5 linked regions of the Nothobranchius furzeri genome follow. The protein of the gene in region 3 interacts with the protein of the main gene of each other region in a pairwise test. Links are inferred from orthologs where the notes say so. Each region holds a gene or a part of one and is shown on either strand. Other genes may lie near its edges. The genes, in order: bromo adjacent homology domain-containing 1 protein, siah1, khdrbs3, inpp5d and psmf1.

What was found.
Region 1: the proteins of khdrbs3 (region 3) and bromo adjacent homology domain-containing 1 protein interact in binary tests that used the Homo sapiens proteins (3 or more experiments, as listed by UniProt). The two-hybrid records come from large-scale screens. The link is inferred for Nothobranchius furzeri from reciprocal best matches to the Homo sapiens genes KHDRBS3 and BAHD1.
Region 2: the proteins of khdrbs3 (region 3) and siah1 interact in a two-hybrid assay, tested with the Homo sapiens proteins (3 studies listed by BioGRID and IntAct). The link is inferred for Nothobranchius furzeri from reciprocal best matches to the Homo sapiens genes KHDRBS3 and SIAH1.
Region 4: the proteins of khdrbs3 (region 3) and inpp5d interact in binary tests that used the Homo sapiens proteins (3 or more experiments, as listed by UniProt). The two-hybrid records come from large-scale screens. The link is inferred for Nothobranchius furzeri from reciprocal best matches to the Homo sapiens genes KHDRBS3 and INPP5D.
Region 5: the proteins of khdrbs3 (region 3) and psmf1 interact in a two-hybrid assay, tested with the Homo sapiens proteins (2 studies listed by BioGRID and IntAct). The link is inferred for Nothobranchius furzeri from reciprocal best matches to the Homo sapiens genes KHDRBS3 and PSMF1.

The regions. Positions count from the first base shown.
Region 1 is NC_091742.1:23,399,925-23,406,481, reverse strand, and holds the start of bromo adjacent homology domain-containing 1 protein, read right to left. Parts: upstream 3,916-6,557; 5' UTR 1-3,915.
Region 2 is NC_091744.1:81,659,607-81,664,659, forward strand, and holds the end of siah1 (E3 ubiquitin-protein ligase Siah1), read left to right. Parts: intron 1-1,533; coding exon 1,534-1,715; intron 1,716-2,105; coding exon 2,106-2,402; intron 2,403-2,634; coding exon 2,635-3,006; 3' UTR 3,007-3,424; downstream 3,425-5,053. Other genes in the region: lonp2 (lon protease homolog 2, peroxisomal), read right to left, coding at 4,857-5,053. UniProt on the Homo sapiens protein: E3 ubiquitin-protein ligase that mediates ubiquitination and subsequent proteasomal degradation of target proteins.
Region 3 is NC_091751.1:1,068,915-1,074,890, forward strand, and holds part of khdrbs3 (KH domain-containing, RNA-binding, signal transduction-associated protein 3), read right to left. Parts: intron 2,839-5,976; coding exon 2,692-2,838; intron 1,100-2,691; coding exon 960-1,099; intron 1-959. UniProt on the Homo sapiens protein: RNA-binding protein that plays a role in the regulation of alternative splicing and influences mRNA splice site selection and exon inclusion. Binds preferentially to the 5'-[AU]UAAA-3' motif in vitro.
Region 4 is NC_091756.1:60,979,618-60,985,593, reverse strand, and holds part of inpp5d (phosphatidylinositol 3,4,5-trisphosphate 5-phosphatase 1), read right to left. Parts: intron 5,041-5,976; coding exon 4,932-5,040; intron 4,849-4,931; coding exon 4,760-4,848; intron 3,339-4,759; coding exon 3,257-3,338; intron 2,024-3,256; coding exon 1,934-2,023; intron 1,854-1,933; coding exon 1,743-1,853; intron 1,666-1,742; coding exon 1,586-1,665; intron 1,503-1,585; coding exon 1,415-1,502; intron 1,344-1,414; coding exon 1,197-1,343; intron 1,111-1,196; coding exon 1,047-1,110; intron 971-1,046; coding exon 773-970; intron 1-772. UniProt on the Homo sapiens protein: Phosphatidylinositol (PtdIns) phosphatase that specifically hydrolyzes the 5-phosphate of phosphatidylinositol-3,4,5-trisphosphate (PtdIns(3,4,5)P3) to produce PtdIns(3,4)P2, thereby negatively regulating the PI3K (phosphoinositide 3-kinase) pathways.
Region 5 is NC_091743.1:68,641,478-68,648,074, forward strand, and holds the start of psmf1 (proteasome inhibitor PI31 subunit), read right to left. Parts: upstream 4,458-6,597; 5' UTR 4,367-4,457; coding exon 4,238-4,366; intron 3,572-4,237; coding exon 3,419-3,571; intron 3,077-3,418; coding exon 2,994-3,076; intron 2,186-2,993; coding exon 1,988-2,185; intron 887-1,987; coding exon 830-886; intron 43-829; coding exon 1-42. Other genes in the region: pigu (phosphatidylinositol glycan anchor biosynthesis class U protein), read left to right, coding at 4,846-4,975, 5,294-5,358. UniProt on the Homo sapiens protein: Plays an important role in control of proteasome function. Inhibits the hydrolysis of protein and peptide substrates by the 20S proteasome. Also inhibits the activation of the proteasome by the proteasome regulatory proteins PA700 and PA28.

The sequences.
Region 1 (6,557 bases), on a different chromosome or scaffold from region 3:
TTCCCGATATTTGGACATCTTGCCTTGGATTGGATAACAGCAACGCAACTCTACCTCTGCAATGTGGATGCTTTATCTCCACAAATAACACAAGTCTGGGGGAGTTCTTCACTCTGCTGAAGCTGCTAATGCTAACGGTTAGCTTTTACTAGTCGGGACGTTGTCTGCTGATTCCTGATGTTAAACCAACAACAGCCTTACCCATTGTGAGTCATGATGGTGAGTCCATGAATGTTAAGTGACAGCGTGATGTAGAGCTATCTGACTTTTCAAATTAATGTTTCACCGTCCGTTTTCTATCAGAAGCTAAGGCAGGAGATAGGTGTAGAAGACTATTTCTCGTTCAGCCTTCACGAAAAACTCACGGTGTCTGACTATAATCAGAACTAATCATTAAAAATGTTTTTTCAGTGAACAACACCTTTAAATAATGTATAGGTCAGTGTAGCTGCAATACACTACACGTACAAGGTATGCTCCTCTCCATCGTTGAAATCAAAGACCAAATTATGCAGTTATTTAATAACAGATGTAGTTAGCTATTGATTTGACAATAGTCTGACAGAAAAAAACAATAACATTTAGTAATGAATGTCTATAGTGATTAGAATGACCTTGGCTTTCCACCAAACGTGTAAGCGGCGCACAACGTAATGGATGCGAGTTTACCACGACCACAGAGGCACCACCCTTCCTACCGAAAGAGTTTCAGATGTGCAGTGCCAGTGAATGGGTTCCATGCAACCGGTCCTGTTAGATCACATCACAGGAGAATTGCAAGATCACACGTGATTTTACAAATTCACGCGACTACAAGCTAGGAGAAAGATGGCGGGAAGTATCCAAAAGGTCTCTGGGTTATTTTCTGTTATTTTTACCTTTGCCAAGGCGTTCATGTTACATTTGCACATTCGGTGGAAAGTCGAGGTCCGACTCCAAAAGCTGAAATTGTCACGAACTACTGGTCTTTGGTTCAGTTATCAGCTCACCTGCCCCTGTTTTTAAATAGCCCACCACTGCTTAAAAACTCTCTGGTTCTTCCACTCTGTCTGATCTTGCTGTTTGTCTGTGTTGTTTTAGCTACCAGTTATCCCAGTTCCTCGTTTTGTTTTCCTGCCAGTTCGTTTTGGTTCCTTTGAAGCATTTGTGAGTTTACCGGCCTGTCTCCTGCTCATTCACCTGCACCTTGGGTCCAACACCCATTCATGACTGCTTTACTCCGGAGAAATCACTACTATAGTTATCTAGTTTAGCATCTTTTTTAGCAATAAAAATACAGATTCAACGAAATGTAACTAATAACCCAGCCAGGACACCTAGATGGGGCCCATAAGTAGTAGTGTCAGGAGGAGAAGAAAGAAGAAGAAAATGTAAGGAAAGAGAGAGAAAATTAATAGGAAAGAGGGAAATCAGTGGATCCCGGGCAGGGTGAAATAAGAGCAGAATAAGGAGAGGGCGACGAAGGTCATGCAAAAGCCAGCTTGAACAGCAGAGTTTTCAGCTGCTTTTTAAAGGAGACCACCGAGTCCACTTATCTCAGGTTCAGGGGGAGAGAGTTCCAGAGTCTGGGGGCCACAGCAGCAGATGATCGGTCACCTTTGGTCTTTAGTCTGGTGCTGCACAACCAGTAGGCTTTGATCACTGGACCTCTGGCATGAGAATTCAGGGTGAGAGCTGGGTCAAAGGTCACACCAAGATTCCTGACAGAGGGGTTGGTGTGAGAAGCAAGCTGACCAAGAGAATCTCTGACTTTGGGAACCAGCTTGTCTGGGGAACAGATGAGGATCTCAGTCTTATCTTCATTCAGCTGTAGAAAGCTCCCAGCCATCCAGGTTTTTAGAGTCTAAGCAGATGTGTAAGCTTAGACATCTCATGGGGCTTAAAGGAGATGTACAGTTGGATGTCATCTGCATAAAGATGGTAGGAGATTCCTTTGAATGAGCTCAGGATGTGCTATAGAGGAAGAAGAGCAGAGTCCCCAGCACAGAACCTTGTGGGACACCATGGGTAAGAGAGGTGGTGGAAGACCTAAACTTGGAGACGGCCACAGAAAAGGAGTGCTCAGACAGATAAGAGGAGAACCACTCCAGAGCAGATCCTGATAGGCCTACCCAGTCTCTCAGCCTCTCCAGTAGCAAGTGATGGTCAACAGAGTCAAAGGCTGCAGTCAGGTCCAGCAGGACCAGAACAGAACAGTCCCGTGCATCACTGTGAGTCAGAAGGTCATTTGAGACCCTAAGAAGAGCTGTTTCAGTGGAATGAGCTCTACGAAAACCTGACTGGAAACTATCATGTTATGCTCATCAGGAGCAGCTGTGAGTTGTTTAGCCCCAACCTTTTCCAAGATCTTGGAGATGAACGGAAGTTTAGAGATGATTTTGGACACTTATTTCCTGATATTTGGACATCTCTCTTCCGATTGGCCAACAGCAACATGACTCTACCACAGACTCCTGCACGCTAAACCAAAAACAGCCTTCCCTGTCATGAGTTAAGATGGGAGAGTCTATTAGCGTTAAGTGACAGTGTGATGTAGATTCGTCCGGCTTTTCAAATCCTAGAGTTTCACCATCTGTTTGCTCTCAAAAGCTAATGCAGTAGATACGTAGGTGTAGGAGACTATTTTCATGCTTAGCCTGCATGGAAAACTCAGTGACCGATTATGCTCCCAAATTTTCAATAAAACACTGGTTTTGCAGTGTCCCACACCTTTAAACGGTATAAAAAACTAAAATTGTGGGGTTATGTGAATAAAAAGCTAAATGCCTCAAAACGAATCAAACAACAGAGTAATGGACAATTTTCTGTTCCTTTTTCTCAAATCTGAAAACGCTTCAAAATCGCAAACAAATCTCCTGGAAGCGAAATTATGAAGAAAAGAGGAGTGACTCATGACTTTTGTTGATCACAATCTTTTATCAGAACCACGCGGCCAGGAGCTTTAAAAACTACATCGGGCAGGTAAGTCAACTAATTGTAGCCAACTCAATTCTGCAATTTGACTTTTTTACATCTGAGTTCATTTTTATCTTCTGAAAGTTTATGTTGCAACATTAAAAATTCTCTTTTAAAGCCTTGTCTTCAGAGAACAGCGGGCAGCATAATGTAGATTCAGATTAGCTTCATGTTTATGTTTATTTATTTAGGAGACGCTTTTATCCAAAGCGACTTACAATTTATATAACCTGTATACAGGAAATGCTGTGATCTGTGTGGGAAACCGGAGTACCCAGAGGAAACCCACGCATGCATGGGGAGAACACGCATGTAGATAAAAACCCATGTTCATTTATGAGGAAATCTGTTTTGTTTGACCTCTCTGGCTCTTACCAACACTTCCTCCACTCATATGAATAAAAAAAATCAACTAGAAATGTTGGTTTGACCATAATTCACCAAGAATCCATCATTCCAGCGTATTTTGGTAATGAAGGGGGAATGTGACCTTTAACTTCATAAATAACGGTTGAGTTTACACTTTTGAAATATTTCTTGGGCTGCGCAGCAAGAAGGTCCTGGGTTCGCTTCCTGGCCTGGGATCTTTCTGCATGGAGTTAGCATGTTCTCCCTGTACACGCGTGGGTTCTCTCCGGGTTCTCCGGCTTCCTCCCACAGTCCAAAAACATGACTGTTAGGTTGATTGGTCCGTCTAAATTGTCCCTAGGTGTGTGTGTGTGCATGGTAGTTTGTCCTGTGTGTCTCTGTGTTGCCCTGCGATGGACTGGCACTCTGTCCAGGGTGTATACCGCCTGATTGCCCATTGGCCGCTGGAGATAGGCACCAGCCCCCCCGCGACCCTGCGTGGACAAGCGGGTTCAGAAAATGGATGGATGGCAATATTTCTTTTTCATCCGACTAACCGATTCCTTTCTTTTCTACCTGTTAAAATAGTGTTTGACCAACTAAGACATGATATATATATATATATATATATATATATATATATATATATATATATATATATATATATATATATATATGTAAAATCACATCTGGTCTGTAAAGATTTTTTTCTTTTTATCTCGGGCTGCAGAGGAGCTTCTGAGGCCTTTTTACCTCTTTGGTGAAGGGTTATGTAATCTGAAAAGATCAAACCCGACCATCAGTAAAGCAGATACTTGGCTGTTTGATACAAACAACAAATCTTTTAATGACAAGAAACTGGGGGAAATGACATGAAGCAAGTCTGAAAAGCTGAATGAGCAGAACGCACGGTTACTAAATCAATTCAAACTCAATTCAAAAGTATACAGCAAGCTTTTAGCGGCGTGGGAGAGCAGCTCAAACGATTCTGTTATTGTGTCAAATAATCAATGTACCGTATTTTCCGGACTATGAGCCGCTACTTTTTCCCCACGCTTTGAACCATGCGGGTTATAATGAGGTGCGGCTTTACTGAAGATTTTCCTTCACCTGCCACTAGGGGGCGCTTTAGCAGAAAGTGAAACAGGTGGAAGTCAAAAGTGGAAATCGAAGAAAGTGCTCATTTTAATTTAGCACATGCAAGCAGCCGGCACGATCCATACTCTCTCATCATGGTAACTACACGTATGAGTTCATATGATGCCGCATTTAAGTTGAAGGCCATGGATCTGGCAGTAAAGGAGGGAAACAGTGCTGCCGCACGTAAGCTTGGCATGAATGAATCCATGGTTCGGCGCTGGAGACGGCAGCGGGAAGAACTCATTCAAGCCAGCTTCACCCGGGGATGATGACAGCAACACGGACATCGCCACAGAAACGGTATGTGACGAAGCTCTTCTGAGGCTGTTCAACTCCGACACTGAAGAAGAGGACTTTAATGGCTTTAGTGCGCAAGAGGAAGATGAGAGCGAATGACTTCTGGTAGACAAGTGTGTTTTATTTACTAACCAGGCATGTTTTGTGTGCAGTTTTAATTTTCTAATCATCCAGGGCTTATTAATGCTGTGTCAGCGCTGTTCTTTTCTTCTAAACATGCAAATTACGGTAATAACGTGTCATTTCTGTTTTATTTTATAACCATCCAGAAATATGAACACTATCAGCGCTGTTTTCTTTTCTAAACTTGAAGGCACGTTCACCCGTGTTTAAAATTTGTTTTGTTGAATTAAAACAACAACGAAAAACTTCCGTGTAGCGTCTTTCTGTCTAATTATCTTATGTTATGGCCGTACATGCGCTGTGCGCCGGAGACCTGCATGTGGCTGCTGCGCCGCGGCTTGTATTCGAGCGCGGCGTGTGTGTGTGTAGAAAACCTTTTTTTCTGTTGTTGGTGCGGCTTATATTGAGGTGCGCTCTATAGTCCGGAAATTACGGTATCAGACTTTCAGGGAAGGGGACTGAGTCGGCCGTGTTATCAAGTCAAAAAATGCATTACAGTAAAGAAAATTCAGATTTTTTTAAGTAGCACTGTCTGGTTTGTTAGAGGATAATTTCCCCTGACTGGCATAATAACATGCATACACTTAGAGCTCAAAACATATTTTAGGCATTTTTACAATGAGAAATAAAACTACAAAGCTGGTTAGTGTCACTTACTGTATCGATTGGTATAGCAAAAAAAATCACGTTGCTGTGAAGACACGAGTGGAATGTCGCTTCTCTTTCTTTGACTGTGTTAAAAAGCTGCTGCATCCCCAGAAAGCTCCTTTTTTTTTAAAACTAAAAGAGACGGTATAAAATGCACCCACAGCAGCAGTAAAGATTACATTGGTCAAGCTGCTGAATCGCAATAAAAAAGGAGAAAACAGCAATAATCATTCTTCTGTAAAAACAGTCTAACAAACCCACATGGTCATACATTGGATATCCAGTTTTGCCAGATTAATTACTCCACGCTTCATTACCGCTTCATTATGGCAGTCTGTCTTTATACATCCTCTGCCAACAGTCTCTCCTACATCTACGTTTAAATGACTACACCCTGCCTCGCTCTCGGTCTAACGGCCGCCCAGCAGGAAGGGACTAGTGAACTTGTTGAGTCTTATTCCTAAACATCAAGTCTCCCTACTAACTCACAATTATGGAATAAAACTGTAAAAAAACATCCTTTGTGATAGGTGTAAAATATGTTATGGTTAGTATGATCACAGTATTACAAATTTTTGTTTAAATGTGCGGAAAAAGAGAGAAAAAAACCCTCCAAATGAAATGACACAAACAGTAAAGCCAATAGCAATACTGATATTATTGTATATCATTAAGCAATATATTTTTAGTAGTAGAAATCACTTGCAAAAATAACCTTTCACTCTGCAAGATGACTTTAATAAAAAGTTTATCACCAGCTGTATGAAGATGAAACATTACCAATCAAAGCTGCTGACCGGAGTTTTCTCCTTTCAGGAATTATAGATGACTTTTAAGAAATACCCTCAGAATCAGTGAATCAGTAAAAGAGTCTAATGGCAATACCTGAAAATATGAATCTTCTGTTTGTATGACCTTTGTGAGGCCAGAAAGGAGTGTGAATATGTCTCTGTCGAACATCAATCAGGTGATCAGACCATCGACATATATACTGGACAATTCGTGTCCGTAGGCTCCAATTATAAGTTTTAGAGCCAAAATGGGAG
Region 2 (5,053 bases), on a different chromosome or scaffold from region 3:
ACACATCTGAGTTCACTTTGCTGCCTGTTTACCTGGAAACGGGCAGCAAAGTGAACTCAGATGTGTTGTTGGGAACGAGGATCCGGCTGAGTCGACGTGTTGGTGAGCGCTAATCCTTCCGACATTTATCCCGACCCTCGTGTTTTTTTTTGTACCTGACAGAATCAGTCATTTAGTTTTAATCAGTGTTTACTTCCTGTTGTGGGCGTGGTTTAGGACACACTGGTGTGTGTGACAACTTTGGGACTCTAACTTACCTGCTCAGATGTGCTCACCTGTAAATCACCTTATCTGCATTAACAGAGTCAAACATTTGAATTTGAAGCTAACTAAACACACATCGCTGTATAAATGTAGAAAAGCAGTCTGTCCTTTAAAGTTTAACCATTAAAATGGAATAAAACCATTAAGATCTTTAAACTGGCAGCAGTTGCAACATGAACGAGTTGTTCTTGTTCCCTTAAATCTAAACATCTGATCTATTTTTTATTTATTTAGTCAGGATCCTCATTAGTTACCGTGGTAACGAGCATTCTTCCTTCCATAAACATTACATTTACAACAATAAAACATAAGTCATTAGAACAATCATAGAAACGTTAGATTACAGGTTTGTGAACTGAATCCATGCTTTCGTTCTTTTTTTAAACACAGAAACAGTTTTGTTTACCTGTTTGTAGCTACGGTTTTCGCCGACAGCTGCCGGCTTCTTCAGGCTGACGCTGATGGTGGCGCGTCACAAAGATTTACAAAGACACAGCAAGAACACACCTAAGATTGTGAACTGAATCATGTGCTGTGTCAGCTAATGCATAATTGACATTTGAAATTAAATAGATTTTCTTCTGAAAAATGTCCAATCTTTATGTATCTTAAATATAAAGGCAGTTTATTCCACCAACATGGCTTGGTGTATCACTGATTTCTGTAATATTTTTGTTTTGGTTGAGGCGGTGTCGAACCCACAACCTTCCGATTACAGGACGAGCACTTAACTCGTGTGCCACCGTTGCCCAATTTTAGCTTCTTTCTGTCCCTCCAGCATCAGTACTTCCACATTTTAATTGAGTTTTAGTTTAAAGAGCAAGTCACCCCCAAATCAACTTTTTTTTGCTGATAAACTATATAAATGTGTGTTTAATTGTGCTGCAGACACGTGTAGTCAATAATTTGGTACTTCAGTGCATCTTAGTTGAACTTTAAATATTCTGCCTAAAACTGTGTGTGTGTGTTGTGCCGTGATCAGGTAAAAACTCTGCACTGCATTTTAATTTAAATCTGCCACCGCTATTGGCTAAGAGGTATGCTATGATGTAAACTGGTACATTATGATGTCACAATTCTGTCGTGAGCCTGTGTGTGTGTGTATTTGTTAGCAGCTCTGCCTTCTCAGTCTGCTAGGCAACAGCATTTGTTGCATTTTTCAAACATGAAGTGGGAGTGGAGTTAGACTCTGGTAGGGGTTGACTTGCTCTTTAAATAGAAGTGTAAAGGTGTTTATCGCTGTAACTCCACTCTTGTGTCTTTTATCAGAAATGAGTCGCCAGACCGCCACCGCGCTGCCCACAGGAACTTCTAAGTGCCCTCCCTCTCAGCGCGTGCCCACCCTGTCGGGCACCACGGCCTCCAACAGTGACCTGGCCAGCCTGTTCGAGTGTCCGGTCTGCTTTGACTATGTCCTGCCCCCCATCCTGCAGTGCCAGTCGGGACACCTGGTACGTATCGCCCCCATCAACCAAACCCCACAGAGCACCGACGTTCCTGGGTCATGTAGCCCTGTGACCCGGCCCAGATGAGACCAGAACCAAACCACAGAAAGTTAAAATGGCTTATTTTTTTAACCAAGATCTGATGGTTTGGTTAGAATCAGCTGCGATATGGCAAGCTGTTATGTCATATGTTTGAAGATTTTTCTTTAAAAATATCTGTTAAAACTCAATTTTTTCCAAATGTACCAAAGGATGCCTCAGCATTAATTAGTGCTCTCATCGGGATGAACTCACACTTGGTCTGGATGTTTTAACTTTAACCCATCCAGTCATTCGTGGTGGTGCGCACACACACTTTTTTTTTAGTGTAACTACTGAGCTCATATTTCGTCTCAGGTGTGCTCCAACTGCCGGCCCAAGCTCACCTGCTGCCCCACCTGCAGGGGCCCCCTGGGCTCCATCAGGAACCTGGCCATGGAGAAGGTAGCCAACTCGGTGCTCTTCCCCTGTAAGTACGCCTCATCAGGCTGTGAAGTCACTCTGCCTCACACCGACAAGACCGAGCACGAGGAGCTGTGCGAGTTCCGACCATATTCCTGCCCGTGTCCCGGAGCCTCCTGCAAGTGGCAGGGATCCCTGGATGCAGTCATGCCACACCTGATGCACCAGCACAAGTCCATCACCACACTGCAGGTCAGAGGTCACGCTTGGTGCTTTGAGCTCGTTTCCTGGTGGATTTTATTAATGAAGTCAAATCTCAAGATTTTACAAATAAATTTTACTTTTCAGGACCAAATTTTTCAGTCTTTTGTTCTAACGGCTGTAGTGATTTGTAGCAGTGCCCTCTGCTGGACACGGGTCACACAGTAATGAGTCTTAGGGTTCTGCTTCTGCCTGCTCACCCTCTGACCTGTGTGTGCATCAGGGTGAGGACATCGTGTTCCTGGCGACAGACATCAACCTGCCCGGCGCCGTGGACTGGGTCATGATGCAGTCCTGCTTCGGGTTCCACTTTATGCTGGTGCTGGAGAAGCAGGAGAAGTATGACGGCCACCAGCAGTTCTTCGCCATCGTGCAGCTCATCGGGACTCGCAAGCAGGCAGAAAACTTCGCATACCGGCTGGAGCTCAACGGTCACCGGCGTCGGCTCACCTGGGAGGCGACTCCACGCTCCATCCACGAGGGCATCGCCACGGCAATCATGAACAGCGACTGCTTGGTGTTTGACACATCGATCGCACAGCTGTTCGCCGAGAATGGCAACCTGGGCATCAACGTCACCATCTCCATGTGCTGAGGACTCCCAGGTGACGAGCATCAGATTGTAAAGGAGGGTGGGGGGTGCATTTTTTTAGGGGTCACGTCCATGCTGACCTCACAGCCCCACCCCTCCCCTCTGTGACATGGATCTGGACTGTGATTGGGCAGCAGTGAGGGCCCAGGCTGTTATGTATGGATGAGTGAAGCGCATTAGGACATACCTGTGTAGTGAAGACTTGTCAGACTCACCTGTGATTGGCTGGATTGTTTAGTTCTAGTCCCGTTTTGTTTCTCCTCATCCTGAAGGTCATGTCAAGGACAATACAACATGGACTCCTGGTCAGTGCTAACAAGCTAGCTTGCCAGCTAGCTTCTTTTCAAAAATCCAAATGTAGACGAACGGAGATCTGAGTGGCTGCTATCAACTCACTCATCCATAAAACCTCTTCCCAAACGCTCGTTTCACCTGTGACTGATAACGATTTAGACGTTGGACCGGACGGCTGCAGCACCAGAACCCTGGATCTGTACTAAGTGTTCATAAAACAGGCTCACCTGGTCTGACCCGGCCAGCTCAAAGGTCAAACTGGGACAGCCGTAGTTGATAGTTAATCGACTCCGAACGGGAAGCTCTGAGCCGGATCTTTACCTGCTCTATTTTTTGGACTAGCTGTAGTGTGCCGTCACACACGACAACACACCTGTCCTCTGCACCACACACACTGAGCAGGTGAGACCTGACCGAGGAACAGAAGTTTTTCAGAACTAGGAAGAGATTAAAAAACACTACATTTCACTTTAGTTTGGAGGTTTTATTTCATGCGTCTGTTTCTAAACTGTTTTAGTTGTTTTTGTATGAAAGGAGCATGAAAAAGATGGATCTGTGGTTCAGACCTGCTAGACTGTCGTTTCTCCTCCATCTGAACGCCCAACCTGGATTAGAGACAGTTCTTCTGTTCAAATGTTTATTATTACTGAATAGAGATATAAAGATCATTTTTGTATCGACTTTTAAAAACTAAAAAGCAGTTGTAAAATATGTGGCTAAAGTTCGGTGATTGTCGTTTTTGTTCTCCTGAAGGTTGATTTTTTTCTCCCAGAGTTGGGCTTTCATCTCTGTCCTCCTGTGGTCCGTCTCTCTGTCCTTCCTGTTTGTCTGCGGAGGGAAAAGTCAGTCATCTCTCTGTCCTCACGTGGAGTTCCAGTAATGCTGCTCTCCTTCAAGCTCATGACTTCTGTTTCGTTTGTCATTAAATAAATCTATCTTTTTCATACGTCCAGTTCTTCACTCGACTCCAGACGGAACGTTTCTGAAACCGCCCCATCCTTCTAACGGGTCGTTGGGTCCTAGATTCCAGGAAAAATGGATCTAAAACTCCCACTCACTCTGACATTCCCGCTGCACTTTAACAAGGATAATGGTGATTTGGACTACGAAAAAGTTAAAACTCATCTTCAGCATTTCTTTAAACATTTTCTGGACATAATGGCTCTAACACTGCCCCCCAGTGGTTGACTCTCACATAACAGCTCTACATTAAATCAGTTTGTTAATCTAGTTTAATCTGAACAAATCATTACATCAACACTTGAGCAATTTTATCATTAATGAAAAAAAATCTGGTTTAGTATCTTTAAATTTACCTATTTACCTCCTGCTTTGATTAGAAATCAGACATTTTTAAATATTGAAGGTTAAAAGGTCAGATTTTGTTTTTGTCACAAAAATAGTTTAAAATGTTTTCTCTGAATCAATCCGTTTACAAACTAAATGAAGTCCGTGTCACTGAAAAGTCCTCCAGCTGGTTCTGTTAAATCTGACGTTAACTTACATCATTTCCTGCAGACTTTAAATCAGGATCAGGGATTTGAGTTGGCAGGTTTCCGTCACAGTTTGCTGCTGAGCTCAGGGAGTGACTCGGCGCTCGCCGTTCCTGGAAATCCGCCGTCGAAGGACGCGTTCAGCACCTCTTTCAGGCTTCTGGCCATAACGAAGTCTAGGTCAGCTCGGACGTTTGCCGGAAGCTCCTCCAAGTCCTTCTCGTTGCGTTTCGGGAGGATGACCCGCTTCACTCCGGCTCTGT
Region 3 (5,976 bases):
TTAGGTTAAAACCAAGACCACTCGTTCTCTTCCATACAATTGCAGTGGTCTCAATAAATTCCTTGTAAATCAATCTCTGTGGAAATAAAAGCTCTGGCGCTACATTTTGAGGAACTAGAAGTGAGCGAGAGGAGAGGCGAGCTGAAGACAACAGCATTTAGACTCATTTCTTCATATTCTCGCCTCTGATTAGCTAACAGCATCTCAACTCTACCACTGACTGTTAGCTTTGCAATGTTGATGTTTACCTGCAAAAACAACACAAGCCAGAAGAAGTTCTGCCATGTTGAGGAGTTGCTAATGATAATGGTTAGCTTCTAATAGCCAACACGTTCTCTGCTGTTCCCTGGATGCTAATCCAACAAACGCCGTCCCTGTCATGAGCCAAGGTGGGTGAGTCCATGAAGGTTGATTTTACAACATGATGTACGGTTTCTGATCCGAGTGTTTTCTATTTATCGGCAGCTAAGGCAGGAAATATGGGTGAAATATTATTTTCACATGTAGCCAGCATGTTAAAGTGATCACATATCAAAAATAAGGAAAAAAAGGTGAGAAGTGTTTGTTTTTAATAAACTTTGCCTTTAACTGGCTGCTCTGAACCGTCAAATGGATGTTTCATGAATCTCTATGTGGCTCTGTGATGGGACTGGTGACATGTTCAGGGTGTACCCCACCTCCCTCCAGATAACAGCTGGATATCAACAACTCCCCCAAATGCACAGATTTGTTGCTTGTTGTCAAGTTTATGAATTCCCACTCCAATTAGACCAAATTAACACTAAGCATTAGTGTAAAATACCCAGGATTATTTAATATAAAAATGCTAATTTGGGCCTTTTTACATAAACAAGAACTTGTGCCTGTTTACTAAGAAACAAGGTTTTCCCAGAAGCTTCTTATCTGTAAATAACGCTCATCTCCCAGCTGGATGGAGTTTGCATTTGGAACCAAGTTACCTGGGAGGCCCTGGAACAGGTGTCCCTCTGCCACGGGTGGATGACTTGCCCCTGACCGATGGCACCTTGGCATCCTCAGAGCCACCATTCAGGTACGTAAGCTCCTGCAGCTGGGCCTGTCTGATCTCATCGTTGTAATCCTGCACACACACAGAGAGGAATCATGTCCGCACACACACACACACACACACACACACACACACACACACACACACACAGTGGAGGCAAAAGCCTCACTTTCAATTACACTGTATTAAATGACGTTCTTTATCTCCAGGCCTACAGCCCTGGGAATATCTAATTGATGTACTACTTTACAGTACTGCCATGGCTGTTCTTCCTGAAGCAGCAAATCCTCTCACGTCTTCTGCTGATAAGACCTCCGTACCCCACTGGCCTTTATCTCCTAACACAGTTGTTTTTGCCGCTAAATTAAAAGACATCAGTTAATATAAAAATGGACCTTTAATCACAAATGACTAATATGATTGTCACATTAGCTGAGTCGATAAGTGTGTTGTTGGTGATGGTGGGAAGAAGGAATGGAGAAGGGGTTGTTGGATGGGTATGCAGATAATTAATGATGAAATGTAAATCATTATCGCTCTGAGCATGGGAGACTTCATTCATTATGAATAGAAGAAAAGTAAATAAGCCGCGTGCTGTTTCCTCTGCCAGAAAAGGTTGATCCAAGGCGACGAGGTCTCCTCTAGTTTCTCTTATTTTGTAATGAACTGCTTTTGACTTGCTTCTGATTCAGAACCCCGTATTTATAACTTATAGTTCATATGCTGATTGTCTTAAAGAGGTCATCACTAAACGATCCCTGGTTCTTGGTTTACTCTGACTAAAGCCACTCTAAAACATGAACTATCAGTCACCTTCAACCTAACGCTAAAACCGACTAGCACACTTTATACATACCTTCTCCTTTTTTCTGGTGCAGGAGTTTGGTTTCAACATCTGGTGGATGTCAGCTTTAGCTAGTGCGTGCTCAGGCTTTCAATACAATACTTACTTACTTACAGTATAAAACCTAACACGAGGGATGCACAGATACCGGTACTGGTATCAGCAAAAGTTAACCGATGCCAATGCAGATGTCTGAAAGTGGCTTTGCTGTAACTTGTCCTTTCTGTTCACCTAATATTTTAGTTTTGTGATCATTTCTATTAATATATTTAATTTTTATCTACCTCACACTATTTTCCTCTTGAAAGCAGAGAAAAAAATAAAACCTGTATTCCAATTCATTGCATTTCTGGTGTGGTAGAATTATCGGTATAGGTAATCGGTATCGGCGAGTACTCAGATCCAAGTATTGATATCGTGTCGGTTTCCATACGTGATTTCCTGTCTAGCCCTATGTTAACTGCGGGAATTGTCGTGTCCCAAAAGCACCATGTGGCTAAAATAGAACCTGATGCTATCTTTAGTAGCGCAGGCATAGCCTGCTGCTTCTGGAACGCGCCTGAAAATTTCCGTGTCGCGGTTTGTTTTAGTCGCCTCCATAGTGGATTCTGATGTGAAGCAGCGACGTTCTGCTGCTGTTTGCACTGCTGATGCTTCCTGTGTGAAGTAGGCGTTACACTACAAGTTCTAGAAAACAAAGTGACTGATCTCCATGACTACTCAGAGGGCTGCGAATAATTCAAACTGATACCAAAGAGTAGAGAAAAATAGATCATCAAAGGGCGAGAAAAAAAGTGCAAAAGGGGTGAATAGAACACACTGGTATGAGAAACTTCTTGATCTCCTCCAGAGCGTGACCCATCCTGGCGTAAGCTTCAGCTGGTGGGGCGAACACCTCAATGAGAACGTGCAAGTCTTCATTCAGGTGGTGATACTTGGCCTCACCACTCTGTCGTAGCTCCTCTTCCTGTTAGCACATAGAAAGATTAGCAAAAATATTCATTATAGCAACATTAATAATGATAATAATAGCCATTATATTATTATTATTGTTATTATTATTATTATTATTATTATTATTATTATTATAGCACTGTAGGGTTTAGGAAATTGAGTGCTTTAAGAGCTCATAAACATATGACCTCTACTTATGACCAATAAGCTGTGATACTCTATATAAATATAGAATATCAACCCTGCCTGGTCTTTGTGTGTTTATCAGAAGATTCTAGGATTCTTTCTTTATTAAGGAATTGTACACACTTCATTTTGCTTCAGAAAAGAGTCAGGTTTATAAAAGTAAGAATTTATTTTACCAACAATTAAAACATGACACGTTAACTAACATTTACTGTGATGGATGGAACTAGATGTGATGTATGAACCTGTGTGTGAATGCGGTGTTAGTCAGAACTTCCGTATCTAGGAGAGCTGAGTTCTGGATGTAAAAGAATTTGGTTTGCGGTAAGCTATGAAGTTGGTTTTTATCAAAGCACATCAGACGCTATCTGTGTGTCTACTTCACCCGTTCTCAGAGACCCTCTTGGTGGATCCGAAGGTCAGAGAGGTCAGCTGACCTCTGGCACCGAAGGGCTGTAGAATACCGTGGCACCGACTCTTCAGTCCAGAGATGTCTCAGGTCACGACAGACGGATGAAACCACACGTCTGGGACTCTTAAGGAGTCTAAACAATATCAGCTTATTCTGCAGGAACTGTTGCGGTGTCAGCGTCGCAGGTGCAAAAAGGTTTTGACGACGTGCCAAAAGCTTTGATGGTTAAAGAGGGTCTTGCTTCAGGTGGCCGGTCTAAAGCTGTCTCTAGAGCTGATAGATAACCTGAGAGTGATCCAGTTTTGATGTTCTCATGTTACTTTTGTGTAGCCAACCAGAGGTTGACAGGTTTGAGAAATGTTACCAAGAAACTCAGAAACACGCCTTCTTTGATACGGAGGCTCTGACTGGGGTGAACGACTATTTATGACGAGCCACGAGTTCAACTCAACCTTACTTGTTCTTGGGTGAGTGCAAATGGTGATGACCTTGCCATGTAAGCAACATAACATTCATTTCAAACTTCAATCAGATTAATGAAATATTTCATTATATCATAATTATTATAAGTAGCAATAAACAAATGTTTATTTAATGATTATCTAGCTTATAAGGTGTAGAAGAAGTCGTTATTGGTTTAGGAAATCATTCTTTGATTTAGCAACTGATCCGAGCTGCGAGTGTTCCTTATATGGAGGCATGAAGACCTGAAAGATTGGACCTTGAGGAGAGAATATTATTGTTGACATTTCGTTATTTGTGTTTAGAGCTGAAGGGATTGAGCTCCAGCTGGTGGGATGGAGGCAGGCCAATTTAAAGGGAATACATGCAGCCTTGTGTCTCCTGTTTGACCAGATGTTGAATAGATGTTGAATAGATGTTGAATGGTCCAACTGTACCTAAAAACGGACCATTGCTGGACGTTACAACACAAAAGCAGACATGATTTTATTGCATAGTGTTTTTAATAAGTAACATCTAGCTATCATGGAAGGATGTTTTACAGCAACGTTCTACTGCAGAGATCTTTCCAAAGTGGGGTTTGGTGCTTTGACATTGCTAATAAAAAAAATTGGAAAAATGCAATCTTACTTTCAACTGTAGCTGTTGACATTTAAATGATTGCTTTTTGTCCTCTTAGCATAACACAGTGCAGAGATGATTGATGTACAGTACATGCTAACTTACCCATTGGCATCTGTGCTCTGCTTGTACCATTTAGTCTTAGTTATCCATGATAATCCTCACATTTCAATTAAATACAACTTAGGTAGAGCCGTAAGATAAAAAATTAAATAACTTATATTAAACAGATGCTGACTTGCACGCCTTGGCCTACTTACTGGATAAACTTCTACCATAGTTTTCTAATAACAAAGACTGACCATGCATTTACTGGAAAGGAATGGTCAGAATGATAGTTAGCAGCTTGTCAGGGTAAAGTAGGCTGGCAAGGCATCCTAAAAATGTAAATATAGTCTGATGAGGACCCATAGACAGAGATCGGTCGTGGAGCCGAATCTGTGGTTGCCTTTCAAACTGTCTCCACACACAACTAGGCAGCACTGGGACAATTCAGAGCAATGAGCAATGTGATGTATTCATTGCTACGGAAATCAGTCAATGGGGACGTCTGCTATACAGCGTCAAAGTAGAAGAAGAAAAAGAAGCAAATACATCATTTTTGAAATAGAGGACCTAAGTACCTCTAGCTTTTCATGGCTCAGAGAAAAGCACTTGTCTAAATCATCCAAAGTTGTTGCCAAAGTTGTTTCAAACTAGCGCTGTTCTTGACGCACCATCTTTGTAGATATTTCTCTGTGGAAGCTCTCTAGCTAAGGCCGCCCAACAAACATAAGGCTGTGATTGGCAAAACACAAAACTGTTCAGGCCAATGATAGACCAGCAGAGGTGACAATGAAGCATGGCTATACCGATCTGTAGAACAAAATCTTTTGGCTACTGCTACGGTTGGTCTAGATTTCTAGGGTTAGGGTAAACAGCTCATATCCTAAAAAGTGTCATCTGAAAAATCGAGTTAAACCTTACAGTTTCACAACATGATCTTTAAACTAGAATCATCCAAAACCATCAATCATCATTTAACATTTGTAAAAATTGTTTCTGCTTTTGAGTATTTTCTGACTTTTAGTGAAGTTTGTGTACTTTGTGAATGTATAAATGCCAAAATGCTTTTTTTTCTCGCAAGACTACTGCAATATCACCCTGCCAGTTAAAATTGGCGATTTTGGGGAAAAATATTGTGAATTTTGTAAGCCAATTAATGTGCATTGTGACAGCCTAAAACAACTTTTCAACCATTAAGGTGAAAATTAGGAATGCACCAATATAAATATTTTAGGCCGATACCGATACCCCATATAGCTATTACTGTTATGGCTGATTATATATATATATATATATATATATATATATATATATATATATATATATATATATATATATATATATACACACACATACATACACTAGGGGTTGTATCAACTAGTCTACTAGTCATCTTCACTGCTCTGTAGTGACATTTTATGCCTT
Region 4 (5,976 bases), on a different chromosome or scaffold from region 3:
ATATATATGAAATTGCATCACTGCAGTATTTTTATTTTGATATTACCGGTGAAGGTAGCGCGACTCGTGTTGCGAAGGACCACAGTCACCAATTCTTGTCATGTGTCTTGCCCATGAATGTCTTGCACATGTGGTAGAACTGACAATAAAACTTTTTGACTTTGACTTTACACTGAAACTGTGTGTGATTTCCTGTCTAGCCTTATGTTAACTGCGGAAATTGACGTATCCAATAAGCGACACGTGGCAAAAATAGAACCCGATCCTATCTTTAGCAGTGCGGATGGTGGGTGAGTGCTGGCAGTTCATTACACAAGCACAAGGTTCGGGGGCCACAAAGACGTGGCCCGCCTGTGGGGAGCTGTGAGCTGCAGCAGTGGCTGTGCTTGGGAACTATTTGGTGGTTTAACCACCCAATCCAACCCCTTAAAGTGGAGTTGTCAAGGGGGGAGGCATTGGTTTAAGTCTCTGGTATGACCTGACTGTGGATTTGAACCCCGATGTCCCAGGAGGGACGGTCATACCACTAAGCCACTGAGAAATTTTTATACTCTTCACTGCTCATCCAAAGTCAGACTGGAGAAGCTTTTTCTAATATCTCTTGGGTGCAAGTTTTACAGAGTTTAAGCAAAAATTTCACGAGTTGGCTGAGTAAACACAAGATCTTTAACACTGAGAGACAGATTTTAGGAAGTAATGAGTCTTTTATCATAAGGATGTTTTCCAGAGATTAAATGAAACAGCTTGACTGGAGTTCTGATCAGGGGTGTACCTGGTGAAAGTTTTTCCAGTGGGACTGCGTGTACTCAGATCATAACCACTCTTCTTGCAATCCTTACTCCCTTGTCCACACGGAGCATTACGTGGTGTCATGCTGTAACTCCAGCCCTTATCCGTCACGTTTCCACTTTTGAATGACACTCCCATGTAGCTGGGGTTAGAAATATCATGGGGTGGAGTGGCACAAGACCTGCAGACATGATGGCACATCTGTATGTTGGAGTCATGCATGAGAACCGGTTTGCAATAATGTGAAAATGCCGTACTTGTTGAGGTCTCCCCCTTTGCATTTTGAGGGAACGGGATCTTCTCTTTCAATTTTAATGAAATCTGAAAGCAAAATAAAGCACAAAAGGCAGTTTTAAGAACCAAGGAGACGTTTAACAAGTAACCACTGAGCTGGTTTCCAGCCTCACCGTATAACTTCTCAGTGGGCTTGAACTCGGTGGTGCGTAGCTGCATGCCTCCGGTCAGCGTGCCAGTCTTCTCTCCGTGGTGAGTCAGAGTGATGTGAAACTCTCTGTAGCAGAACTGAGCAGCTCTCAGTGCGATACAACCCGCCCCTTTGGAAATACCACACACTTAAGAGTCATCTTCGGTCAGAGCGGCATTAAACTACAGAGTCTCCGTTTACCGTACGACTCATCACTGTCGGCTGATTTGACACAGATGAGGATGTGCTGATCCAAGAGGTACTCGGGGTCAGATATGATGGGGGTGAGCTTTGACAGACAGATAACACGTGTCTAGTGTTATGAGATGGTTAACAGTCTTTACTACCAAAACTACCTCTAATTTATTGTACCTCTACTTGGTTCCCGAACCAAACTTTTATGGAGCCGCATGCTTGTTCTGTGTTCTCTCCTTCTGAGGTCGTTGTCATTTCTGTAGGAAAATCTAGTTTTAATATTCTTCAACTGTTCATAGAAGAAACCAGAGATAGGTGAGAGAATCAGACATACTTTCCAAGCAGCTGGAATGGAACTCTATGAAGAATTTAGTCTTTGATTTCGTCAACAAGATGGCCACACAGTTCATGATTTGGATTCCACCTTGAGGAGCGCTGTTGAGATCTAAAAAAGGAGAACAAAGAAGACGTCAAACCAACGTCTGAAGCTCATTCCGCCTTCCTGAAGTCAACTGGTGATACTACCTTGTTTGGAGACAAATTGTGACGCAACACCGACTTCAAATGAGGCAAAAACCGGAGAGTGGTCACTCGTCATGATGTCAGTTGTGCATCCTACCGTGGAAACAGTTTCAAAACCAAATTACAATTAAAGCACAATAAAAACATGTTCTCCCACGAAACCATTTATAACAAGTAATCATCTTCTCAGACACGTGTTGTGGCTGCAAATTGGTGTTAGTTTTCATTCAGATCAAAGTTAAAGCTAAATCTTTTTCACTGCAATGAGATGTTTTCGTCAGCCTAACACTAGGTCAGTTAATTTCCAGTTATCAATACCTAAATGAACCTGTCATGTCTCCTAGAGTTAGTGTCCAACGCACGTTAACATGGTCCGCTGATCGGAGCAAACCAAGAACGAGAAAATAAAGAAATAAATAAGACAAAAAATGATCTGAAGAAACCAAGATCGGTAGAAATCTGCACATTAGTCTGAAGAGTCTAACCCCGGGTTTCCACGGGAGCCGTCAGCAGCACGTTACTGCAGCAGCACGTCTTGCTCGCGTAAGCTGCTGCTCGGCCCTTCCCACGAGACGCGAAGCAGCAGGGGAGCAGCTGTCACCGACCGAGCACGAAGTCACACGAGTGACTTCGTCAGTAAACACAACAACAAGCAGGAGAAAATTACAACATGGTTTGCGTTTTATGTTCTGTCCGTTTTATAATCGCCAATACGGACCTGAAAAACAAAGGAGACCGCTAGCTAGGTGATAACTTCTCACGGGGACGCACAGTTAGTAACGTTTTTAAAAGTCAAGCAACCGGAAGGCAGTACGTTCTTTATTCTGAAAATCTCGGTAGATTCTCTCCATTTCCGCGTCCGATTTCCTGTCTTTCCTTCCCCAAAAATGTCGAACTTGACCCGTTTCAGAGGCGTCGCGCGTAGAAAATAGAACCGGCGCGTAAAGGCCGCGACATGCTGCTCCTGAGACGCGGCCGACTCGCGCTGCTGACGGCTCCAGTGGAAAAGGTTCTGTTGACCACAGCGGTTCCTATCAGCAGCTATGACGTGCTGCTGCAGTAATGTGCTCTTGACGGCTCCCGTGGAAAGCCGTGGTCAATGTCAGAGCTTTGGTTCTCGAATCATTACATTTGAAGACCAAAAATGTTAAATCAACGAAAGCCCATCTGGGATTGAAAAGGGTTTGATAGTGTGGAGACACAAAATCCAACAATGAACTTCTGTGATTACCACAGCTCTCCCTTTTCAGTCAAGACCTCCGACCCCAGATTTCGGAGGATTTTTTTAATTTTTAGAAAAAGCATCTATGGGTTTGGAAAACGCACCGTATGCTTGACAGACAACATGAACCAGAGGGTAAGACTTCCGCAGGACGCGATCACACCATGAAGGCAAATTGTATTTGGTCTGCAGAAGAAACAGTCATTAGTTAAGCAGTTCATGTCAGTGTTCATGAAAAAAACAGTTTTGGAAGATGTTTGTGAAACACGTGAAAAGTTTTATTAGTCGACAATTATTTCTGATGTTTGATATCTTTTTTTAATCCAACTATGTTGAGAAGCAACATGTTTTCTTTAACTAAAGAGTGTTCATGCAGGACTGATGTAATCTGTGTTAAACATGAATTTGTTTGTTACCCTCAGGAGGTGTCCTGTGTGGCAGCCATTTTGAAGCAGCTAAAGAGGAAGCCCGCCTCTAATGCTGCCTTTATATAGTGAAATGCCTGAGTGGACTGAGGTGATTGGCCGACCTGAATTGGAGGGGGGGTCAGAGAGTATATAGGTGGACTGCTGGGTATTAGTGATGGGAATTCCGGCTCTTTTGAGAGAGCCGGTTCTTTTGGCTCAGCTCACCAAAAAGAGCCGGCTCTTTTTAGAGAGCCGGTTCTTTTGGCTCAGCTCACCAAAAAGAGCCGGCTCTTTCGGCTCCCAAGTGGCTCCTCAGATTTTCTGTTGCGTAGAGTACATTTATAACCAAAATAATGCAAAACTATATGTATAATAATTTACTCATATAAAAAAATGCAATATATCAAACATTTATCATTTCTATGGATTTAATAACTGAACACTATAAGAAATCTCCACTTTCCGACTGCTGGCGCTCATTTCCTCACCGTCTTCGTCGCACTCTCCTCTCTCGCTCTCCTTTTTCCTCCTCCTCATTCCCTCTCGTCTCCCTCCACCCACATGTGCTCTGCTGTGTGTCTGAGTCTGATCCACCCCTACTGCTCTGTGTTTGGGCAGTCTGGACACGCAGTTACACATGTTGACCAATCGCCTGTAGCTTTCACCAAAGCAAGAGGGGAGGGGACGGCTCCCAATGACGAGCCGGCTCCCGTCGTTCACTTCAAAGAGCCGGCTCTTAGAGCTGGTTCGTTCGCGACCGACACATCACTACTGGGTATGGCAAGAGATCTTTTCTCTCTGAAAGTGACTGGAGGAGAGTTGGATGGGTGGCCATTTTGAAGACAACTGGGATTTTCTGATTTTTGTTTGGACCAGAGGAAATAAAATTGGTTTTCCTTGTTTATCAACCAAGTCATCATGCTTCTTGTGTCCTCACTACACTTCACCGTGTAACAAACTACTTTATTCCTGGCAGCTGACGATGCCATCATTTGGTCTAAACACTGAAAATGTTTTACTGAGACCAGATGAGCCTAAAACAGACCCCATACATGTCCTTTTCATTCCAGAAGGTGAATGCTTCCATGACAATGAAATTAAGTGAGATAAACTGTATTTTGCATTCTTGGTGAAGCTGTTTTGAGAGGTTTGAAGCAGAAGCCTCACAAGGGACAGACTCCTGACTAAACCCAGGCTTACCCCTGTGGCTTTGGCCTTGGTGTAGGCATACTTCTCCCTTGTTTCTCTTTCAAAGCGATACGTGGGTGGAAATGTGATTTCCTCTTCATCTACAACCAGTAAAAATATGGCTTATTATAAAAAACAAGTTGATAATGCACATCTGTGTTTATTTATATTCTCTGGTGCTCACCAAAATGCAAGAAGACCTTTCCATCATTCCTTTCCATGTTGAGCTGGTCTTTATTGAGGAGTTCCTGGTACTGCTGCTGTTTGATCTTCGTCACAATGTGCTCAGCTTCCTGTAAAGGGAAGCAGTGTTCATGGTTCAGAGCGTTAGCAGCTCAGAGCTCAGTCGCTTGACAACAGCACTTGGGCTGTGTAAATGAGGTCTTTAGTTGTTTTTGTAAGTCTTTCAGTGGCATTAAAATCAAAAGCCGTTTTTGAAGATGTATTCATTAGTTTGTCTTCTGTACTGCTCAACCCTGAGTGGGGTCACAGGAAGCTTGCGTCTCTCTCCAGCAGTCGCCAAGTAGGAGGTGGGTAGAGGACACCCTGGACGGGTCGCCAGTCCATCACAGAGACAAACAATACATAAAACCATCCAAACACTCACGCACAACCTAGAATTGATTTAGAATCACCAATTAGCCTGACATACATCTGTGCGAGGAGTCTGCAGATGCAAGAACATGTTAACTATACAAAAACACTCCAGTTGGGATGTGACCCTCTAACCTTCTTGCTGCAGGGCAACAGTGCTACCATGCTGTTCTTTTGCAAGAATTAGCAGATTAAAACATTAGCAAGTAAACTGATGTATTTATCTATTCTTTATTTAACCCTCTGGAGGCAGGCGTTGCAGATTAGCAAGAGTTTGCCAATATTTGCCTGGCTCGTAACACTGTGGTACGGAGAATTAAAGATGTTTCATCAGATATTAAGAGACAGTTAGAGGCAAAAGGAACTGAGTTTGACTTTTTCTCGTTAGCCTGCGATGAAAGCACGGATGCATCCGACACCGCTCAGTTACTGATCTTTCTGAGACGAGTGGACAATGACATGAATGTGAGTGAAGAGCTTCAAGCTCTGCAGAATCCGGTTAATCACCTGCTGATTGAAATCAGGTGTGTTGAAAAAAAATAAACACACCTGATTTCAACATGCTTCTGCAGAGCTTGATGAGCTGCTGAACAGGTGAATTAACTGTGTTCGAACTGGGAAACAACAAAAAGATG
Region 5 (6,597 bases), on a different chromosome or scaffold from region 3:
GACCTCAACGGGTCGACTATCATCCCGCCGCCACCACGAGTTCTGGGGGGGATAAAATTAATTTTGTTTCCTTGTTATTTTTGAGCTCAAATACAAAAATTGGAACAAAAAATGACGGATGGATGTTAGAAGACGGTTTAAAAGCAAACTAACTGTTTTAATTACAGAGTGAAATTGGCTTATACCTGAGATTGGATTATACCGGCATGAACTCCAACAACTGGTCTTTTATTCTAAAGATTAGTAATCCTTCAAGAGCAGAGATTAGAGTTTTATATTAAAGGTGAAATAAATGAACAAAAACAGAACACCGGGCAAGAAGAACAATGAGACAGAGAAAAAGTATGTGAAGATACTATAATCCAACATAATTCTAGAAGGTGAGTAAAGAAATGCTTTATGAATGTTGTCAAAAACATTTTAATATACAGTTTGAATTAGTCAAGTGCCAAGATCCATCCATGGATCCATCTTGTTCCGCTTATCTGAGGTCCAGTCACTGGGGCGTCAGGTCCATATGGGAAGCCTGGACGTTCCTGTCCCCAGCTCTCTTTGTGGAATCCCAAAATATTCCTACGCCAGACAGGATAGATACAATACCTACAGTGGGCTCTGGGTCTTTCCAGACGGGCCCGGAAAACCTCCAGGGGGAGGCCACCTTGGATGCTCGAATCGATGCAGAGGAGCAGCGGCTCTACTCCGAGCCCCCAGTCAGGGTTAAGACATTAAATTTTCCTTAAAAATATACAGATTATTTCGGAGTCTTGCTAATACCTTTTTTTCTGAGAGAACACTAAAATAATTAGGACTGAGGGATGATATGACTCACCCAAAAGGATCCAGGTCTGCTCCTCCAACTGCAAACGGAGGATCCAAAGGATTGGGCCTGAAAAGAAACAAAAGCACAGACGTCAGTCTGGTTTCTTTAACCTAAAAATAAAATAATTATAAAACAAACATGAAACTATTTAAAATCTAGCATATTTATAACTTCCTTTATGGTTAAAATTTGCCAATATTTCTTAAAAACCTTTTGTTGCTTTTCTTGCGATAAACATAACTTATTTTAAGGCTGTTGAGTGTAATTTTTGATCTTTTAATACCACTTTTTAGCACATATTCAGTAGATAGCCTTAGCTTTGTTGTTTTCTAACAAACTAATCAGAACACTGAAGTAAAACAACAGAGTTCCAGCCGGCTGGGATTTCCACAGCAGACTCCAGGGAAATCAGGATGTGAAGAGATGGCTTTAAGCATCTTTGGAACAAAAACAGCCACATTTGGCAGAAATTTGAGACAATGTATTATAAGATCTGAATATGAGACAAAGAACGCTGTGCTTTAGTTTTGGGAAAGAGAATTTCAGTTGCTGATCATAAAAGTTTACTATAAATGCAAATCTTTATTTTTAGAGCATTGTCAGCGACCCAGAAACTGAGCACCGTGTTTGACTGATGGTAAATTCAAACAGGAGAATATTACTCCGTTTCCCTGTACTATACTGTATTTTTAAATGTTCTATATGTTCTATCCAACCTTCATCTGTTCTGTATTGGTCCTATCACCTCCTCCTCCTCTGCTCCCTGTGCACACTCGTCTTTCTAACATCTCCCTCAGCAGCGAACCCAGTCTACACATTCATCATGTCTTCATTTCTCTTCCACTTCTCTGTTTTCTCCTCACTTCAGCCTCTCATCTTCTCATCTTTTTTGTCTAGCCATAATCAAGTCCTTGTCCTTCCTAATCCCCCTTGACACTCCATCTCTCAAGGAGCGGGGAGGCGACAGCATGAGGTCAATAAAGTGCTGTTGACATCACCTCGCTTCTCATCTGACCAGGACGGAGGACGAAGAGGAGTGAGTGACTGTTCTGTCTGTCTGGTTTGTATAATTTGGGCAGTTTTAGCTTTCAGGTCAAGGTTACTATATAAGACCAGTTTCTGAATTTATGTGAGAAGAATACTGATCAGCTGTATGTGACGACCAACCAGTGAGGCTGTGTTCCCTGGTGAGGATGTCCGCCGGGCATACGGAGAGGGCTGCTGCCTTCTTCCCTTCTTCTTTGTGCCTCATCTTCTTCATCTCTTCTACTCTTCCTCTCTGTTTTCTGTTCCGTCTCCTTCTTCTGGGGAGGCAGCAGCTGAGCCGTCACCATCTGTGACAAACCCTCCATGTCTTTGAACACACTGCAAAAAATAAATAAAAAAAAAACTGAAACTTTAACTCTTTACAGATGATACTTTGTTTTTCTCACATTCTGGCCTCTCTACATTATTAAATACAGATTAATAAATGTAAATGGTTCAAATGAAATAAGTTACTTGTCAATGTGAATAAATGTAAGTCCACAAAATAGAAGATTAAAATAACACAATAACTCCTGTCTCATTGACAACTTGTCTTATAAAATATAAATCACTTGCTAAAACATTTTATCAGTTGATGTCATACATTGTTTGGAAAGACTTCCCGTTTTTCTACATTTGTGTAATGGAATCACCTCCTTATGTCACAGGTTTTAGAAGTGTGGGAAACTCATTTAATCAATGCATTTGAAGTGGTGTCTGACAGGAATGATTGGTTGCTCTGAACGTTGAGGATTTCTCTCCACAAATAACACAAGCCTGGAGGAGTTCTGCTGTACGGTGGAGTTGCTAATGATAATTGTTACCTTCTACTAGCCGAGACGTTCTCTCCTGGATGCTAAACCAATAACAGCCTTTCCCGTCATGAGTCAAGACGGGTGAGTCATGAATGTCAAGTGACAGTGTGACGTAGATCTGTCAGGCTTTTCTAATCCTAGAGTTTCATCGTCTATTTTCTATCAGAAGCTACTGCAGGAGGTAGGTGTAGGAGACTATTTTCATGTTCAGCCTGCATGAAACACTTAGAATCAGAAATAATCGTTAAAAATGGTTTTTCAGTTCCACACCTCTTAACACTGGTTTCCTCGTTTTTTTTTCTCTGCCAAGTCCTAACAGATTACACACTAACCTGTCAAATGTGTGCAGCTGATCAGCATTCACATGATCGCTGATGTTTACTGTCAAGTCTGACACCTGCTGCGTGTTGAGGTTCTTTAAATAAACAAACAGAAAAATAACAGAATATACTTACAAGTCTTATCAAAAAACAAATACATTTTTTAAAAGGCCCTTCAGGTTTCAGGGAAATCTACAAACAAACTCAAAAGATTATTGAACAGATACAAGTGCAAACTTCCACCATGCAGTTATTTTTTAATGCTTGATGAGATTACAGTAAGATTTCATCTAATCTCATAGTCTTCTGTAAGAGAAGACCCTTTATTTTTGCAAACAACAAGGACCCAACCTCAGCTTTGGTAATCACTAATGTAGCAAACTGGTGGAGTTCACACATGAAGCATGCAGACTGGTTTCCCCTCTTTCTGGGTTTACCATTAGGTTGAATATTAGTGCAGAGTCCACCGTGATGGCCTTCAGTAGCATCTGTGTGTCTGTGCTGTTGTCTTTATAACGCAGACTGTACAGCTCCTTGTTGCTGTTCCAGTCAGCAGGTAGAAGCTCAGACTTCTTATCACTGCTACGAGGCTGCAGAAGAGGATGGATGAAAAACACAAGAACAGAAACGAATAACAGAAAAAACAAAGGGTTAATGAACAAAAAATAGTAGATTTATTAAATCATCTGATGTGCGTCAATGTGACCCAGCCCCACAGAGTGAGTTAGTTTAACCTGCTAAAAGATGACTTGACATGTTTTGTTTTGACAGTTCGTTACTTTAAATCATTGGGTTTAAATGAAACAATTTGATTGAAAATAAGTAAAAGACGTCTCCTAGACATTATAATCCAGCGAAGTTAGCTAAATCCAGAAAAGTATACCCTTTTGGAAAGCTAAAGCTAACTTCAAAATAGCAGGTTAGCGTGCGCAAGTTCCCCTAGAAAATCGATTGCTTAATGTCTCCTTCAATAACATAAAATAATCACGTCAGAAACTGTGTAAATGACATTATTATTCTGTACAATATCTTACTGCTGATCTATCGGCATTTATTAGTTTAATTAAAACCTTGTACTTTTTCAATAACGTGTAATTTCATGTCTGATCTTTTGTCTGTTCGTTTCTTTTATGAAGCATAAATAGTGAAACCCTTGTTACAAAAATAACAAACCAGGTCAACAGGTCAGGTTACTGTTTGTCCATTTTCTGCATCATCTGAATCTGACCCAGCTTCAAACAGCCGATTTTACTCACATCATCTCCAGACCCGATACACCTGTATCCATTCTTTATCATTTCCCAGTGAACGAAGCACACAACGGCGTCATGCGGGCAGCTGATGCTACCTGCGACACAGGTGTACAACACCTCCAAGCCTGCCATGTTTCTTTAGTGTCTCGACATCAACACAGCATCAAAACGACGAAAAGAAAACGAAAGTCTTCCCATTTGCAACCTAGAAACTTCTAGCACTTCCTGTCTGGGGATTTCAATGTAAAAGCACCGCAAAAAATTCGTTGCAAGGCCAGGCGCCTTGACATTGAGAAACACTCTTATAGATACATTCTGTAGATATTTGTACTGAGTATTTTTACACAAAAGTAATGAAAATGATCTGTATTACATCTGTGTTCTAAATGAAATCCAAAAAAAAATTATAAAATGTGCAAAAAACCAAACACAAAAAATAATTATGATCAGAATTTTACAAGAACGTAATGCCTTTTCAAGTAAAATAGAAGACGAATAATAGTTTATGTGAACTTTATTTTGTTTTATTTATGTAGTTGTCTTTTTAGACAACATACTTCATTTCCCATCATGCCTTGTACCGGCAGGGCGGAAAGCGCTTCCTTGTGAAGATGGCGGCTCCCTTGACTCTACTTTTAGTTGTAGCCGTTACAATCCGCGCGGCTCTTTACAGATCCTCTCTAGCGGAGGTAATCGCGGAGCGGGTGGAGGTGGTGTCACCCATTACCGCCTGGAAACGAGGTAAGCGCGGGTGCGGCTGTCGTCCGGATCCCAGTTGTTCGGTTAAAATTCCGGTTCCTTCCTGCATCTTCGTCTGAACGATGCTGTCAAGTCAAACCAGTTCCGATACAAAAGACGGAGAGTCCTGATCGGCTTGCAAAAACAAATCCAGACAAGCCTAGACAAGTGCTGATTTCTTATAAAAATGTTGAATAATGTGTGTGGATGCTACATGTGTCATGCTTCAGCCCCTGTAAAGTAAAACCAGATCATTACAAGGTGATTGATGATATTAGCTCTACCATAGAGGATAACACAGATGTTGTTTGTTTTTTGCAGTTATTGAGGGTTTGGCACTGCTTGATCTTGGAGTTTCACCATACTCAGGAGATGTGTTCCATGAGGTAGGAGATCCGCACATTAAATACCTATCATGTTATCAGGCCATGACAGCATTTGTGTCTGCTTTAGGGGTTAGGTGATGAGCTGATTTCAAATCCTCAAGGATTTAAATGTGTTGCCAATCTGCCAAAGTAATAATAGTAGGATTGTCACAAACTATTTATCAGAATGATTGGGAAATGTTGCTGCCCAGATCGATTTGGATGCAACACACTCAGGGCCTGATCACATTATTGTGTATTTATGGTATTTATGGCCCAGTCCCAATACTCACACCTCCACACTTGTGCCTTTTAATATCATGTTCCCAGCCAGGGGTGCAAGTGCATAGGGTGTCCCGATTTTCAAGTGCAGGAAGTGACCAAGCTCATTTTGCACCCTTGATCTGCACTTTTCCCAGGTCTGTATCAATGTGGACTTGGGTGACCCACAGTTACCCACAATCTATTCCTGCGTGTTAAGTTTGAGAAGAAGGCAGGGCAATGGCTCAAGTGCCTTTTCTGAAAATTTGTATTTTCAAATGAAAGAAATTTTAAGACGATTAATGACATTTATTCATGTTGTGAATTTTTTAAGACTAAGGTTTAATGTGGACGGCAATGAATTTCAATTTAGGGTCTCCAAAAAGGGTGGGTAGTCTGAACTGTAGTTTGGTGCATAAGCACTGACCACAGTCAGAACCCGTCCCCCCACACGTAGGCGGAGGGAGGCTACCCTCTGATTCACTGGGGTAAACCTCAACATACAGGCACCAAGATGGGGGGCAACTAATATGCCCACCCCTGCTCAGCGCCTCTCAGTGGAAGCAACTCCAGAGTGGTAGAAAGTCCAACCCCTCTCAAGGAAACTGGTTCCAGAGCCAGAGCCATGCATTGAGATGAGTCAGACTATATCTAGTTGGAACCTCTCAACGTCACACACCAACTCAGGCTCCTTCCCCACCAGAGAGGTGACATTCCATGTGCCAAGAGCCAGCTTCTGTAGCCGAGGATCAGACAGCCAAGGTCCCTGCCCTCGACTACCACCCGTCACACACTGCACCTGACCCCTTTGGCCCCTCCCACGAGTGGTGAGCCCATGGGAAGGGGGATCCACATTTCCTCTTCGGGCTGTGCCCGGCTGGGCTCCATGGGTGAAAGCCCATCCACCAGGCGCTCGCCAACATGCCCCACCTCCAGGCCTGGCTCCAGAGGGGGGCCCCCGTGACCCATGTCCGGGCGAGGGAACACAGTTTCCATTTA